Arabidopsis thaliana: one gene and its partners. The protein of the gene in region 2 interacts with the protein of the main gene of each other region in a pairwise test. Each region holds a gene or a part of one and is shown on either strand. Other genes may lie near its edges. The genes, in order: GLB3, RGLG4 and UBC18.

Evidence for each region.
Region 1: the proteins of RGLG4 (region 2) and GLB3 interact in a two-hybrid assay, tested with the Arabidopsis thaliana proteins (one study listed by BioGRID).
Region 3: the proteins of RGLG4 (region 2) and UBC18 interact in a two-hybrid assay, tested with the Arabidopsis thaliana proteins (one study listed by BioGRID).

Annotation. Positions count from the first base shown.
Region 1 is NC_003075.7:15,763,271-15,767,621, reverse strand, and holds GLB3 (hemoglobin 3), read right to left. Parts: upstream 2,511-4,351; 5' UTR 2,137-2,510; coding exon 2,000-2,136; intron 1,647-1,999; coding exon 1,516-1,646; intron 1,158-1,515; coding exon 1,013-1,157; intron 875-1,012; coding exon 760-874; 3' UTR 516-759; downstream 1-515. Other genes in the region: AT4G32700 (MUS308 and mammalian DNA polymerase-like protein), read right to left, coding at 147-182; AT4G32680 (uncharacterized protein), read left to right, coding at 2,583-2,793, 3,523-4,160. UniProt on the Arabidopsis thaliana protein: Hemoglobin-like protein that exhibits an unusual concentration-independent binding of O(2) and CO. May promote shoot organogenesis from root explants in vitro. Inhibits RGLG3 and RGLG4 ubiquitination activity.
Region 2 is NC_003070.9:29,858,682-29,863,958, reverse strand, and holds RGLG4 (Ca(2)-dependent phospholipid-binding protein (Copine) family), read right to left. Parts: upstream 3,469-5,277; 5' UTR 3,148-3,468; coding exon 2,953-3,147; intron 2,706-2,952; coding exon 2,621-2,705; intron 2,534-2,620; coding exon 2,393-2,533; intron 2,316-2,392; coding exon 2,202-2,315; intron 2,130-2,201; coding exon 2,032-2,129; intron 1,960-2,031; coding exon 1,880-1,959; intron 1,789-1,879; coding exon 1,683-1,788; intron 1,604-1,682; coding exon 1,476-1,603; intron 1,363-1,475; coding exon 1,245-1,362; intron 1,167-1,244; coding exon 1,110-1,166; intron 1,020-1,109; coding exon 936-1,019; 3' UTR 643-935; downstream 1-642. Other genes in the region: AT1G79390 (centrosomal protein), read left to right, coding at 315-494; CYP79C1 (cytochrome P450, family 79, subfamily C, polypeptide 1), read right to left, coding at 3,796-4,166, 4,422-4,695, 4,787-5,277. UniProt on the Arabidopsis thaliana protein: Possesses E3 ubiquitin-protein ligase in vitro.
Region 3 is NC_003076.8:17,243,412-17,247,932, forward strand, and holds UBC18 (ubiquitin-conjugating enzyme 18), read right to left. Parts: upstream 2,578-4,521; 5' UTR 2,494-2,577; coding exon 2,464-2,493; intron 2,380-2,463; coding exon 2,276-2,379; intron 2,189-2,275; coding exon 2,086-2,188; intron 1,866-2,085; coding exon 1,802-1,865; intron 1,085-1,801; coding exon 996-1,084; intron 891-995; coding exon 795-890; 3' UTR 576-794; downstream 1-575. Other genes in the region: TRX3 (thioredoxin 3), read left to right, coding at 1-62, 161-307; AT5G43000 (uncharacterized protein), read right to left, coding at 2,943-3,791. UniProt on the Arabidopsis thaliana protein: Accepts the ubiquitin from the E1 complex and catalyzes its covalent attachment to other proteins.

The DNA of each region.
Region 1 (4,351 bases), on a different chromosome or scaffold from region 2:
GAAGTGTTGAGAAACTTGAAGTTGTTGCAGCAAGCACGAATTTTCACACAGAGAAAGAGGAGAAAGAGATGAAGAAGAACACAAACATTCGTCCGAAGTTCGTGGAGACAAATTAAGCAAAGAGAAAAAGAAAGAGAGAAACTGACCTGATCAATCCGCGATTTAGAAGAATCTGAGTCCATGAGCGGCGGAAATAGAGTAACCGCCGGAGATCTGAAGAAAAACCCTAGTCGGCGATTGCAACGCCGGGGAAGTGAGGAGCGCCCAAATGCAGGCAGATGTAGAAAGAAACAGAAAGAATCTGTAGCGTTTGAATTTTTGATTTCCCTTCTATACACAGAGCTCTCTCTATCTGTGACCGCGTATTATTGTATTCTTTTTTTTTTTTCTTTAAAATTTCAATTTTCTCGTTTTGACGCTCAGATTTTCAATTTGAACCGTAAAGGTGCTTTTGCTTTTGGGTTGCCGTTGGGCATTTTAACGCTTTTATTAGAAGAGTACAGTACTTGTTTTCTAATCAGGTGAAGTGTTGTAAATAATGTTTAGAATTGTTCATATTCTTAAAAGTTATACTTGTAATGTTACATATTTTGTGTCAGACCATCTAATGAAAAAGTGCTATTGCAAATTTGCAGTGAGAGCCAAGAGTAGACCAGTTCTATTTCTCTTACATAGCTTTCCAGGAAAGACCAATATTCCGTAGAATCTTTTGTGTACTTTGAATGGAAACTTAAAGTAGAACAAGAATCTGTAGTTAAATTATTCTTCTGCTGGTTTATTGGCTGCGTGTTTACAAGCACATTGAGGCTTATGCTTCGGTTTCTCATTCTGATTCTTCAGCTCGTTTCCAGCCACAAGGAAAAATGCGGTGTGTCTGAAACAGATCAAAAGTAGCCAATCAAATCTGTTTGCTAATATCTACAGAATTCTAAGGTTTTAAGCTGAATAAAACACCCGATCAAACTTTCATCGAACTATGTGACTTTTGACTCTGAGAAGAAGATGGTGTTACCTAAAGAACTTCATCATTTTGATTTTTGAGTCCTGGTCAATGTCAACCGAATCGTCCAGAGCATTTTGCATGTGCTCTAGCCATCTCTCAGCAGCTTGATGGGTCACTGGAAATGGACGGTGACGTCCGATCAAAGCAGGATGACCTACACATTGGTAAGATAAACAAACAGCCACAAGTTAAGCAAAGAGATTTTGGAGATGCCAAGTCATATTTAGTCAAAACCAACTCAAAATTGGTGTGATATCAAATATGTACATTAATGTCATTTGTAATACAATCATACAGATACAAGTGTGTGTACTAAGTGAGCATCGAAGGGGTAAAAACAAATGAGTTAGTTGATGTGCAATTTTTTAGTCAAGCATGAAAAACCTAGAGAACCAATCACAGACAACAACTTATGAACACATATATAACTAAGGGATCGCAGCAAACAGCATATGAATGTTAAAACACATAACTAAGGGAAAAGAATCTAAATTTAAGATAAAAAGGCAAACCTTTTCTCTGAGAATACAAAGGAGGGCCTCCCATACGCTGGACAAAGAACTCATACTGGTTTTGGATGGCATCTTCTTTGTTAGAGTTAGAAAATATTGATTGAAACCATTCTTCTTCGTCATCATATACCCTAATACCCATTTCAAAAACAAGAAATTCATTAAGAACACAATGTCCATAAGTAGAAGCATTACCCAAAATCTTAAAACTTGTCTAGGTAAGAAGGACTTAAGAGACTTGTCAAATCAGAAACTAGTATATCTTATAACACTTTCATATCTGCAATTCCAAGCCATTATCATAGGAAAAGTTATCTCAATTCCTCATTTGAACAAGCAGAGAGACTGGAATTGATTCTTCATCAATATTAAAGGTTCACACTTTCAACCAAAATCTCCTAGTCTACACCAGATTTTAATCGAAAAATGGAGCTTAGCAAGTGAGAGCTATAATATAACCCAGACTCCAGAGCGAACACAATACCTGGTATAGAAATTGGTGGATAGGTTGATGAATGTCTGAAGACCAAGCTTGTCGAACAGATTGGACTCGTCGATGGCGAACGCCTCAGCCTGATCGACGCCGCTTAACACCGATGCCTTATCTTGCAGCGATTGCATCTCCCTCTCTCTCTCTCTCTCTCTGGTTTTCGTCTCTCTCGCAGTGATGAAGAAACTGTGGGTGATTGAATTGAATTTTAAAAAGGAATGGTGGGGGCTCTGGTCGTGGTCGCGTGGAGGCAACGCTCTCTTTTTTCTATTACACTAGTTGGGCCTTTTTGGCATATGCCGTGACCAAAACTAAAGACACTTGTCTTGATGATTCTCTTTGACTTTTGGTCCTATCCAATCAATTTAGGATTTTGAAGTAATTGGGCACACTTGAATTGGCCCGTTAAGAAGCCCATTATTCTAAACGCGACAAACTCTTTAGTGACGACGATTTGCGTTTGAAGAAATAAGTGATTTAAAATCCGCGTTTAAAAAGGACTAAGCTGAGCTGACCCCGTCGAGAATTGGTTTCCTCTTTTCCTCGCTCCGAAGACAAGAAATATTCCGGTGAGGCAATGGCGTCGAACAGCAGAGAAGCCAGGAGGCGGAAGATCCTAGATAGAGGATCTGATCGTTTAGCCTTTATCACTGGTCAGATCAACGGCGTTCCTTCTCCACCTCCTTCCGATTCTACTTCTTCCCTTTCCCAGTCTGACCTTCAAACTGACCAATCCTTACCGGATACGATTCCCCCTCGCGATCAGATTCTTAAAGCTCAAGAAATCGGTACTCTTTCGCTCTCTCTTTCTCTAGGGAATATTGTCATCCTTGGATTGTTTGTGTGTGTAAGAATTTGAGCGACACAATCGAATTTTACTTACTCTATTGGGTGAAAGGATAATCAAATTGGCTTCTTTGATCAGATTTTATGTGTGTTTGGCTCGTTTCAGAGTGGAATTCATGTGTGTTAAGAACCCGGCTTGAACCATTGGATGTTTGAAATAGGGCAAATTTGTAGAGAAGAATAGGACAACGCATTATCTACATTTTTATCTTTTAGTTTATTTTGTCCTCTGAGTATAGTAGTTAATGGGCAGTGAAGCTGTTAAATCCAGATTTCAACTTGGAACCTACTTGTCTTAAGCTGAAATTAGATATTATGAACCTGATTTCACTGTTCTCTACTTTTGCTTAAGTCACCTCGCCCCTTGAAATTTTCTTTGCCATTCTGTGAAATTCTTTATAGGTGTGGTTCAACCACAGTCAAGTGTTTGGAAAGCTTATTATGTTGTGTGTTTTTGAAATTTGCTTGCCTTGTATTGTGTCACAAAGTTTGGAAGGAAAAGATTGCTACGCTGCTTGATTGGAGCCAATAAATCTTAAGGCGTTGTATATATTCACAATCAGTGGGTTCTTAGTGGTGGTGGAAAAACCCATTGATTGTGAATGTTCTTTTTGGCGTTTCTTGAAGCTAACCTTTGCTGATTTTGATGATCCTTGGTTGTGAAATTGCAGCTTTCACAAGTCACCAGGACAACATCTCTGATGCTGCAATGCTTGAGAATGTGGATCATATCATCCATCAAAGCAGGGAAGAACCTCTTCAGCCTCAGAGGCATGCTGAAACATTGGCAGAAGCCTCTGCTTCAGATCCTAGAGACACAACAACAATACAACCGCCTCCTACAACATCAAGTGTTCAAAACCCATCAGTGGTAGATTTAGGTGCTTCTCAAGCATTTATTCCTGTGGTTAGTTTTGTGAACGCCATCACACCAAAGCACATTGGAGCGGCCATTGATGCTTCGGAATACGCACGGATGTTCACAGCTCTTGCGATTGCACTTGTTGTCATACTATCTCATCTCGGTTTCTCTTCCCTAGGCAACATTGTAAGCTTCAGGCCAGTTTTCTTGCTTGTCTTGACTGATGCCACAATTGTGCTTGGACGTGTTCTGCTGAGTCATCGTGGAGACTCTTCCTCGGCCTCAGGGACGGTGATGAGCGGGCAGGGTATTGTGGACCAAGTAGGCAACGCTTTGGAGACGGTGATGATGGTGAAGAAGATAATGGATGCACTTCTTATGGATTTTAGCTTATACGCTGTGATTCTCATATGTGGCCTCTTGGTCACCCAAAGCATCTTTCCTTAGGTCACCTTTTAAATTAGGTTTCTTTGTGCTCGGTAGATTTGTGTTTTGCTTATGGTTTGAATATCTTAAAATTATAGTTAGTTCCAAAACATAATTACATGTTTCAGATATCTTTCTCTTTCCTTTTCTTTTGCGTGAGAAGATCAATATTTATTGGTGTTTGGTAGTTTGGAAGAATAAATTTAAAGGTT
Region 2 (5,277 bases):
TGAGTAGAACTTTGCTTGATGATGATTCTTTCTGCTACTTTGCAAAGCTCCTATGGGATTGGGTACCTAGAGGTTAGAGGTGTTTAGGCCTCGATATGTTGAATTGAGCATTTGCATTTTCTTGTTGCTAATACACCAATCCATTGTTCTGTGTTAACAAGGAATTTCATGTATCTGAGTTCTTGCTCTGCTTCACAATGTCGATTCAATTGGAAGTTTATTGATCACAGCCGTATGTTAACCTTAGGCTTATTGTTAATCTTCAATCTTTTTGTGTTATGATGAACAATACATTTCTGTTTTTGTATTGTTAGATGATGGGTAAAGTAAACCAAGAGAGGCTAGCTGAATATCTTGGTGAGTTGAAACAGAAGCAGGATACAAACGACAGATACGTTGCTGCTCTTAGGGGAGAGACTCTTACCAGGAAGCCTTATCAAAGAATCCAACCAATGCCAAAGCCAGATGACACGGTGACAACCAAAACTCAGTAAGGATGAATTATTTTAAGAGTCAATGTTAGTGAATGCCTCTCACTCGAATCTTTTGTCGATACAAAAATGGCGTGTTTCCTGGCCGTAATATCTTTTGTTTTTGAAACCGGCATCTAGCGACACAACTTTTGTGCTATGCAAACGGCTACAATGTCAATCACTTCAAACCTTTTGTTATGATGAATAAAATGTAAAACTTATGTTTTGTAATTTGTACATTGCTTCTTCATTCTTGTTTGCAAAGTTAATGTTTTACAGTACATACAGAATTACATGGTACACGCTGATTGTGGAACATTGTCAGAAACACTTGGCAAACCAAATTGTAGATTCTACAAAGGAGATGGCTATGTGCAAGCGATTTGTTATGTGCAGAGATAAAGTTTGTTGGCATTGATCACGTGTAAAGCCGTGGTCAGAAAAAAAGTTCGTGGCCATTGATCATGTGTAAAGCTTTAGCCGGTTCGTGATCCTTACTCGACAGATCGGGCAATTTGATATTTTGGATCCGCAATCTCCACAAGTCTGCAAAAGGAAAATTGCAAAGGTAAGTTAAAACTGGTTGTTGATTAATGAATGGGTTTGAGTAAACTAAAAGCAATCGGTGAAACTTACCATGTGGCCACAGCTGAAAGCCACGTCTTTTCGGTTAGTCAGACAAATCGGGCAACTCTGTTAAACGGAAAACCATATGAGATTGGAGTTGATTCGACAAGGCAGAAAAATAGTAAAGTATACAAATTATGAGACCTGGGTTTGTTCAGGTGATGCAGGTGATGCAGTTGATGGTAGTTCAGCATTAGTTGGAGGTGTGTACGGAATTGGTGGTGGCCTCGGAACTATTGTCTTCGCTAAGCCCGTCTGCTTCCTTTATAGACGGGTGCAGAAGTGGACAGGGACCAGCAGAAGCAATTAGACAAAAAAAAAAAAAATAGAGCAGAAAGACGGTAGTTCTGTTATGCTGAGAACTTATGGAAGTACCCGAGTAAGCGGAGTTCGATGGCTGCTTGATACTGAAAGGGAATCTCCATTAGAGCAGCTAGAGCAAAAGCAGTTTCTTTGGCAGACTCTGGTGAGTTTCTCGTCATAATCTCTGTGAAATTCACAAACTATGCATAGACCAGAGATCAAGAAGATGCTCAAAGCAGAGAATATAGATGGAAAATAGCACAGAAACTGGGAAGATACCTGAAAGTTGTCGAATTCACGCTTAGGGATCTTATCATCGAACTTCCTCATGTCTTCCCATGGTCCGTCTCCAACACCGACTAAAACAATCGACAAAGCATACGAGCTGTAGATAATAAAGGAATTTCGAAAAAGGCTTGTTTAGATACCGCAAATCGAGTTGCGAAAAATGAAAAACTGAATCTGCATTTTTTTACCTTGCATTTACAATCGCGTCGATGGTTGTTTTCTCTTGTTGACTGAGTTCTCCCTCGGCCATATCCGTACCTCTCGTTACCTTAACATTCAAAAGGTAGCCTTTTAAGTTTTGGTATCATACTTTGTTTCTCTTAACTGCTTGTAACTTTACCTGTCCATCTGCAACAATCACCAGAACATGGAATTGTCCGTTGTTCTTCTCCACAATGTCGACAGCAGCATCGATGAGCGGTCCATACGACGTTGGCCCTTTTGAACACGGAAGGTTGTGATTTGGTGATAAAGCTATGGAAGGTAGTATTTAGATTTTCAAAGAAAGACCTGATAGACGCAAGTTGGGTGCAATTCTCTTGTAACATGCTAAGACCTCTTCGAAGCCATGACATGGAGAATTGTCGCTATGGAAACCGAACACTTCCTCGTCATGAGTTGTTGCTGGATAGTGCAAGAAAACAGAGTCTTAGAAACAGAGAGTGAACTGAAGATGATATTTTTGGGAAAGAAAAACTTACAATCGCCAAAGCCGAAACAAGGGATGAGATTGTCTTCATCAAAAGGAGCCAACGTTTGGCCGATTACAAAAATCGCCTTTTCATATGGATTCGAAGTTTCGCCGAGCGCGTGCAGACATTTTCCATCGAAAGAAGTTTTCCCTGAAACAGAACGTTAACCACTTTTTTGTTTACAGTTGCAAAAATATATATGTGAATTTAACAATAAGTTGTATTTGCTGAAGGTACCAGTCCACTCGTTGCTCTTTGTGAAATCAACTCCGAGAATGAGATTGGATGATTCAAGACCAGCTTCTCTTAGAGCTTTTGATACCTTTTAAACACCATTCACTAGTTAACACTCAGTAACAACTCTCCATCTCTAATTAGTTTCCAGACAATTTTTTTACTCAAAATCATTTTATGTCCCAATGTCAACGAATGAATGGAGGAGAAAAAAAATAATCATATACATCTATTAGACTTTTGAAGAACTCAAAGAACATGGAAGTAGCAGAAGACATGGTGAACCAAAAGTCAAGTCAACACAAGAAATTGAGAGATACAAAAAAGAAGAGAACCTGGTCGAGGGAAGAGAAGCGGTCAGGGATGAGAGCGTACTTCTTCTTGGTGGCGTTGGTATTATCGGCAAGGGAGAGTGAAGGATCCGACGGTGATGGTTCATGAGATTGAGACGACGTCGTTCCCAGAGTCATATTTCTACTGCTTCTGCTTTTTCCACTTCCAAATCTCTTTAAGAAATTCCCCATAGTCATCTCCTTTCTTCTTCTTCTTCTTCTTCGAATTGGAATTCAGATTTTTTTTCTTCTCTTGATAATGGATAGAATCTTTTTTTTTTTGGGCTGGAATATTTAAGAAGACTACTCTTCAAGACGCCAAGGAAACATTTATTGCTTCACTGTTCTTTATAATTTTATTAATTTCATTCTACGCGGCAACAATCATTACTTTTCTATGTCAACCACTAATTGTTGTTATCTAAGTATTTTTGACGCGGCCAGATGGGGACTTAAACATTTATTTACTGAACCCACATGAGTTCGAACGAAAACCTAGAAAAAAATTAAACTATATATTATACACTGAAGATCTTATGAGATTTGATATAAATATAGGATCATTAATGCTAAAAGAATGACTTTGTGAACAAGATGGAATTAGATACTCTTCTTATGTGCTAATCTCAACTTGCAAGTTAATTTCTCCATTTTTGCACTCAACCCGTTTCTTTACTTGAAGCTTACTTTGCTCAAATTAAAACGGCAGAACAATACTGGGCTGGGCCTTTTATGAACGTTATGGGCTATATTCCTCTTCAACTTTTCCTCAAGACAAAAACTTTATTCAAATTTTACTCATACATGACAATAGCAATTGAAATGTGGTGCCGTTAACCGGTATGATCAAGCTGGACCGGTCCAGAGTTTCGGGTACATGTTTGGATCTAATCTGGGCTTCACACAAGCCATCAAAGGATTAGCCATGAACAGATTTTCTTTTGACTCGACTAGCTCGACTCTGTCCGTCGTACCAGGAGGAATGGTCCAGTCGAACCCTTGGAGAAGCCTACCCAACAACGTAACAATCATGGACGTTCCAAGCTTAGCTCCAACGCAGCCGCGTCTACCAGTTCCAAATGAAACAAGTCGTAAGTCTGGTTCAGTCAACACCACTTCGTTGCCGGTTATATGGCGCTCAGGCCTGTAGATGAGTGGCTCATCCCATGTCTTAGGGTTTCGACCAACACCCGGACGACTCACTAGAATATGACTGCCTGTGATCCACATCAAACAATCAATATATTAAAGTTAATAAACAAATAAAATAATAATTTGAAAGATTCGTATGTCACAATCTACTTATTTTCACTTTTCAGTCCAAAATAATAAATCAAAGGAACAAATATTCTAATATGAAAATATTGCTCAAATCAAGCAAAAATAAATATAGTTAGAATTCCTGATTCTACATTTAAGGAGTTGGAGTCAAATACGCCTAAATGCATAAATTTTGGGGAAAAATGAGATACCTTTTGGGATGAAATAGCCAGCGAGAGTTGTGTCATGACGTGCCATGTGAGGGACAAGGAAAGGATTGGTAGGGTGAAGTCTCAGGGTCTCTCTGCAACAAGCTTTGACGTAGTTTAGATTTGGTACGTCGGATTCTTGAACAAGTCTTTCTTTTCCGACAACCATATCGATCTCTTCCACCGCTTTTTCTAGAATCTCTCTCTGGTTCAACATTTCCGCAAGTGTCCACTCTATTACATTCACTGCATTATCAATCCCTACTACATCAAGATCCTGCCAAAACCAAAAAGAAACCATAACTTATCAGATATATAATATACAAACTAATTGGTAGTAATTATATGAGTATATTTCTATCACGAACCACAGAGAGATGTGTGATTTCTTGCGGGGTAAGCAACGGCTTCCCATTCTCATCTTTAAGAGTGAAGAGAATGTCGAGCCAATCCTTGATCATAGGAACATCATTCTTCGTCTCCGCACGATTGTAGTCTTTATTCTGCCCCCTCCACAACTCTATCTTCTCATCGATAATCATCTTATTGTACCTAGCAATCACATCAACGGCTTCTCTTAACTCAGCCTCCTCTCCCTGGAGGTTCCATCCTCTTAAGAAAGGGTAGTAATCGGCTACGTAAAAGCTAAAGAAACAATCAAGAGCCGCGAAAATTGCGTCAAAATGTTCTTTCTCCATAAGTCCGAGACTCCCGTCCATCGTCGTCTCCTTGAAATGTCTCCGACCAAACAAGAGTCTCATCTTCACATTGTGTGTGTGAGTGCACACAATATCTCTCACGTTCACTACGGCGCCGTGTTTTGTCTTGGACTCATCTTTGTTGTATAGGTTATGAACAT
Region 3 (4,521 bases), on a different chromosome or scaffold from region 2:
CTGACTTAGCCAAGAAGCACCTCGACGTAGTCTTCTTCAAGGTCGATGTTGACGAATTGAACGTGAGTTTCCTTCATCAATCTTACACTATCCCAATATCCAAACTTAGGGATTTTTGACTTCTCTGAGCCTTTATCTTGCTTGTTATGTTGTTGTGCAGACTGTTGCTGAGGAGTTTAAAGTTCAGGCAATGCCAACGTTTATCTTCATGAAAGAAGGAGAGATCAAGGAGACTGTGGTTGGTGCTGCTAAAGAAGAAATCATTGCCAATCTCGAGAAGCACAAGACAGTTGTTGCTGCTGCTTGATTTGCTTTTCTCTCTTACCTATTTTGCTAAAATATGTTTGGTGTTTTAATAAATCCTTTGTTCGCCCGAGTCTTTTCACCTTAAATGTGCTCTTATGTGTGGTGGTGAATAAATGTTGTTGCAAACTTGATTACTCGCAGCTATGCTAATTGTTCGTTCATGGTTATGTTTACTCTTTGGGGATTCTATTGTTATGTTAGTTTTTCAATTTTCAATTACATTACACCAACTAGTTATCAATCCAATTACATTGCCAAATACAATTTCGTTTTGCCTAAACTCTCCATGGTTTTTCACTTCAGAAAGGACAAAAGCACAAGGTGTTAATTCAGACACTGAAACATTTCAGATGTCATTTATACATAATGATCCGTTACAGAAAAAAAAGTGGGAGGCCATGAGGAATTTCAATTAGTATTATCAGTCTTGGGAAATTATATAAACCTCTTTTGTAACTGAAAGGAGAGACATCTTACGGTCGTCATCATTAAACCTTGTCGTCATGGAACCACCACCTTGTCTCTTTAGGAGACCTCCCGTTCTTGCAGTTCTTCACATATCGATCGTTATCAGTCGGGCGTTGCTGATATTGTCATCGACAATAAGACATAGTAAGAGTTGTGTGGCAGGGTCAAAAAGTTTGAATTTGTGACAACAATACAAAGTGTGAGAGATCAAATGTAGAAACCTTTTCGGGGGAACTTGATAGCATTGAGAGGATGCTGATGCAGACTGAACTCACTGTCATTGCTGGAGACCATGAGTCATACAGAATATCTACAAAAAGGAATTAGAGAGTGTGTTATATTAAGCGCATAATCCTAATGGACTTTCTCCTAAAATGAGGCCGGGTATAATCGTGATTATGTATTGTAACAAATGGTTCAGTTCCACCACGATTTCATTAGACCGGATTTAGATGCATTGAGAACAGATTTAAGAAATTTACATAAAACTTTCATGTTCTTATTGTTTAGTGAAAACAGCAAAACTAAAATGTGTTATTTGATTTTAACTCAAATGGGAGTTTCAAGTTATTTGATCAACATTCCAAAGGGAGTTTCAATATAACTAGAAATTGAGAGGCTGTTATAATCATGGATCAGATTCTGATTTTGCTAAAGAATTCACCATAGAGTCCAAAAGGGACGGTATTGGTTTTCTTTATGGCGTTGATAACACATTCACACCTAATTTCATGTCATGCGACGCTAGTATTAGGAACTCTTTAAGAATGAGACAGACTGAGAAAAAGGTTAAGACTGGTAACAATGTTGATATAATATATTAGGACTCTTAAGGGTATTGTTACTAACATTGCTTCTCTTTTCGCTACATTACATTCCGTGAACAAGAACAACCTATATATGTAAGTATCAAACAGATAAACTAATTTGATTGACACACACATGACTTGAGCTAGCATTTCAGAGAAACCAAAAAGTAAGAGCAAATGCAAAGAGTAAGTAGTGTAGAAACAATGAGTAAAATTACCTAAACAAATATGTCCATTGCTGTAAATATGAGGATGTAACGGTGCTGGTGGAACAAAAATCACCTGATCAAAAACCAAACACATGAAAATCAGAACACAGCACAAAACCAAGTAGAGAAAATGTCACTATATCTCAAACTAATTCTCTGACCTAAAACATGCAATACAACCATAAAAACACTCTGGTTTCAGTTAATTAATCCACAATTAAGAAATTTGAAATAAACCCTTAATCAAAAACAACAAATTTTTCAGAACAAAACCAACACAATGAAAAACTTGCCTGAGGAGCTTCCATAGGATAATGTTGAGGAAACTCAACCTGAAGATTATAAGTTTCATTAGCGTAAAGCGTACCAGGTGCTCCTGTTACCTCAATTACCCATCTTTAAATCACACAAAAACAAAAAAAACAATCAAAAATCGAAATGATAAATAATCAAAAAAAGGAAAGATTTTGAAATGAAAATTACTTTTGAAGATTATCAGTAACTCTGTGCTTAAACCCAGTCGGTGGATTTACTTGCCACTCTGATAACTCCTTTTGTAACCTATTACACGCGATCTTGCTTAACGCCTACACAAATCTCAAAAATTCAAAAAATCACAATCGGAGAATCAAAAAACACATAAGAAGACAAGAGTGAGAGAATCTAAGAACCTTGCGTGAAGGAGATGAAGAGCTTGTCATGGCGGAGACAAAGAGAGAGAGAGAGAGAGACGAAGACAGAGAGGTCTTGCTTAAGCTTTTGTCTGGATCTTTCTTCTTCTACTCGAATATTATTATTATTGAAAATGAAATCAAAAAGTGTAAACAAAAGGAAATAAAAATATTTTTCGGGGTGAGGAAAGGGCACACGTGAAAGAGTCAAAATTACAAAATTAACCATTTTCATCGGACGGCTATTAATCTTCCTTCGTGTTCACACGTGTCGTTTATCCTTCACTGACTCCACGGGACATTGAAGAGTCGATTTTATTTATAGATTTTTTTTTGTAACAAAGATTCTCTTACATTGTAGCTACCAAAGTCGTACGATCATAAGTACATAAGTTTTTAAGACAAAGTACATTACATTAAACATACGTCTCCATCTATATAATGTTTCAGCTTTCATTCTATAGTAGGCTTCTAATAGTTTATGGGTCATCATTTGGCCCAACATGAATAGCCACTTCTTGCTCTAGCTCAATACCATCTAGTGGGTCTTGAAGAGGCTCAACGTGAACTACCGTTTCTTGTTGTAGGTCAATACCATCTAATGGACATTGATGAGGTGCAATAATACAATCTTGTGACTCTTGATCTAGCACAATATCATCTTGAAGGTTTTGGTCTTTTCCATCTGATGGGTCATTAAGAGCCCCGATACAGTTTTGTGACTCTTGGTCCGGTCCAAGAACCCGATTGGTTTCTTGTGGGACGAGTTCTTGCTCTAGCTCAATACCATCTAGTGGCTCTTGAAGAGGCTCAACATGAACAACCATTCCTTGTTCAAGCTCAATACCATTTAATGGACCATTAAGAGGCTCAATAGAATTTCCAGACTCTTGATCCGGTCCAAGAACTCGATAGGCTTCTTGTGGGACGAGTTCGAGTCCGGCTGCGAAAAGCGGGAGCAAGACTAGATAATGTTTATGAGAAACGTAAGAGATCGTGGAACCGATGACGTGGACAATGCATAACATCAAAAGATATGCGTTTAATGTGTGCCAATAGAGGCTCCCATCGTTTGTGTAAAGCCAAAACACTCGGCCGCATCTTTGTATTTTCACTTCTTCCTCGATCAAACTTTGGATAAGATCGAGCAAAGTGAAGATTAATGTGTCGCAAGCACATACGATACCGAATATTTTGGCTAGATCTTTCTCCTTGTCGAGTAATTCTAAGACGAAGCAAAGAAACTCAACGAGGAATGCAATAGCAGAATGTGGTCGTAGACTTTGCCTAAAAACAACGAGTTTAATGACGGGAGTTAGGATCGCCATTTTCAAAATTATTACTATGTGATTAGAAAGCTCAAAATATACTATGGTATGAGGAGCTTTGAGTGAAGAACTTCGTACGGGGTGCTTTTTATAAAGACATGAAGTGGTTATTAATGAATGATTAGGGAGACAAAAGTCAAAAGTTAAGCTTGGAAAATTCCGTGCTAATCATAAAGATCTTCACTTTTCATTGCATAGGGAATCAAATAAACGTTTTAATATTTTTATGTTTGAGATCATTGCAAGTAAACTCTAGAGTAATAGATCAACTCTCTAATCATTTTAAGTGTATGATACAACGAATCCTAGCTGTTTGATGATTTACGACGTTCATGATTTCGGCATGTTAATTTTCTTTTTGAAAAAGTTGTCCTAGCTAATTTAATCCTAATCTTATTTTTATTTTTTTACGGTAATTCTATTCTTATTGCGCTAGAAAAAAATCGAAAATATCATTACTTAATTAATTTTATGTTTTTATAATAAAGGTACATCATGAGTGAGACAATTTTTTTTCCTAAAGTTAGTATATATAAAAGTTTGCAAATTGTTTTTATTTATAAAATATTTATATTTTATAGTTTACAATTGTTATTAAGTAAGATACCGTCAAACACGTCCCACTCAAAAATTATTTTATTAATGTTGATCTTATTTATGATATGATTTTGAATCATCCCCTAAACATGTTAGCTTTTTTTTTTCTTTTTCTTGTCATCAGATTTAAACA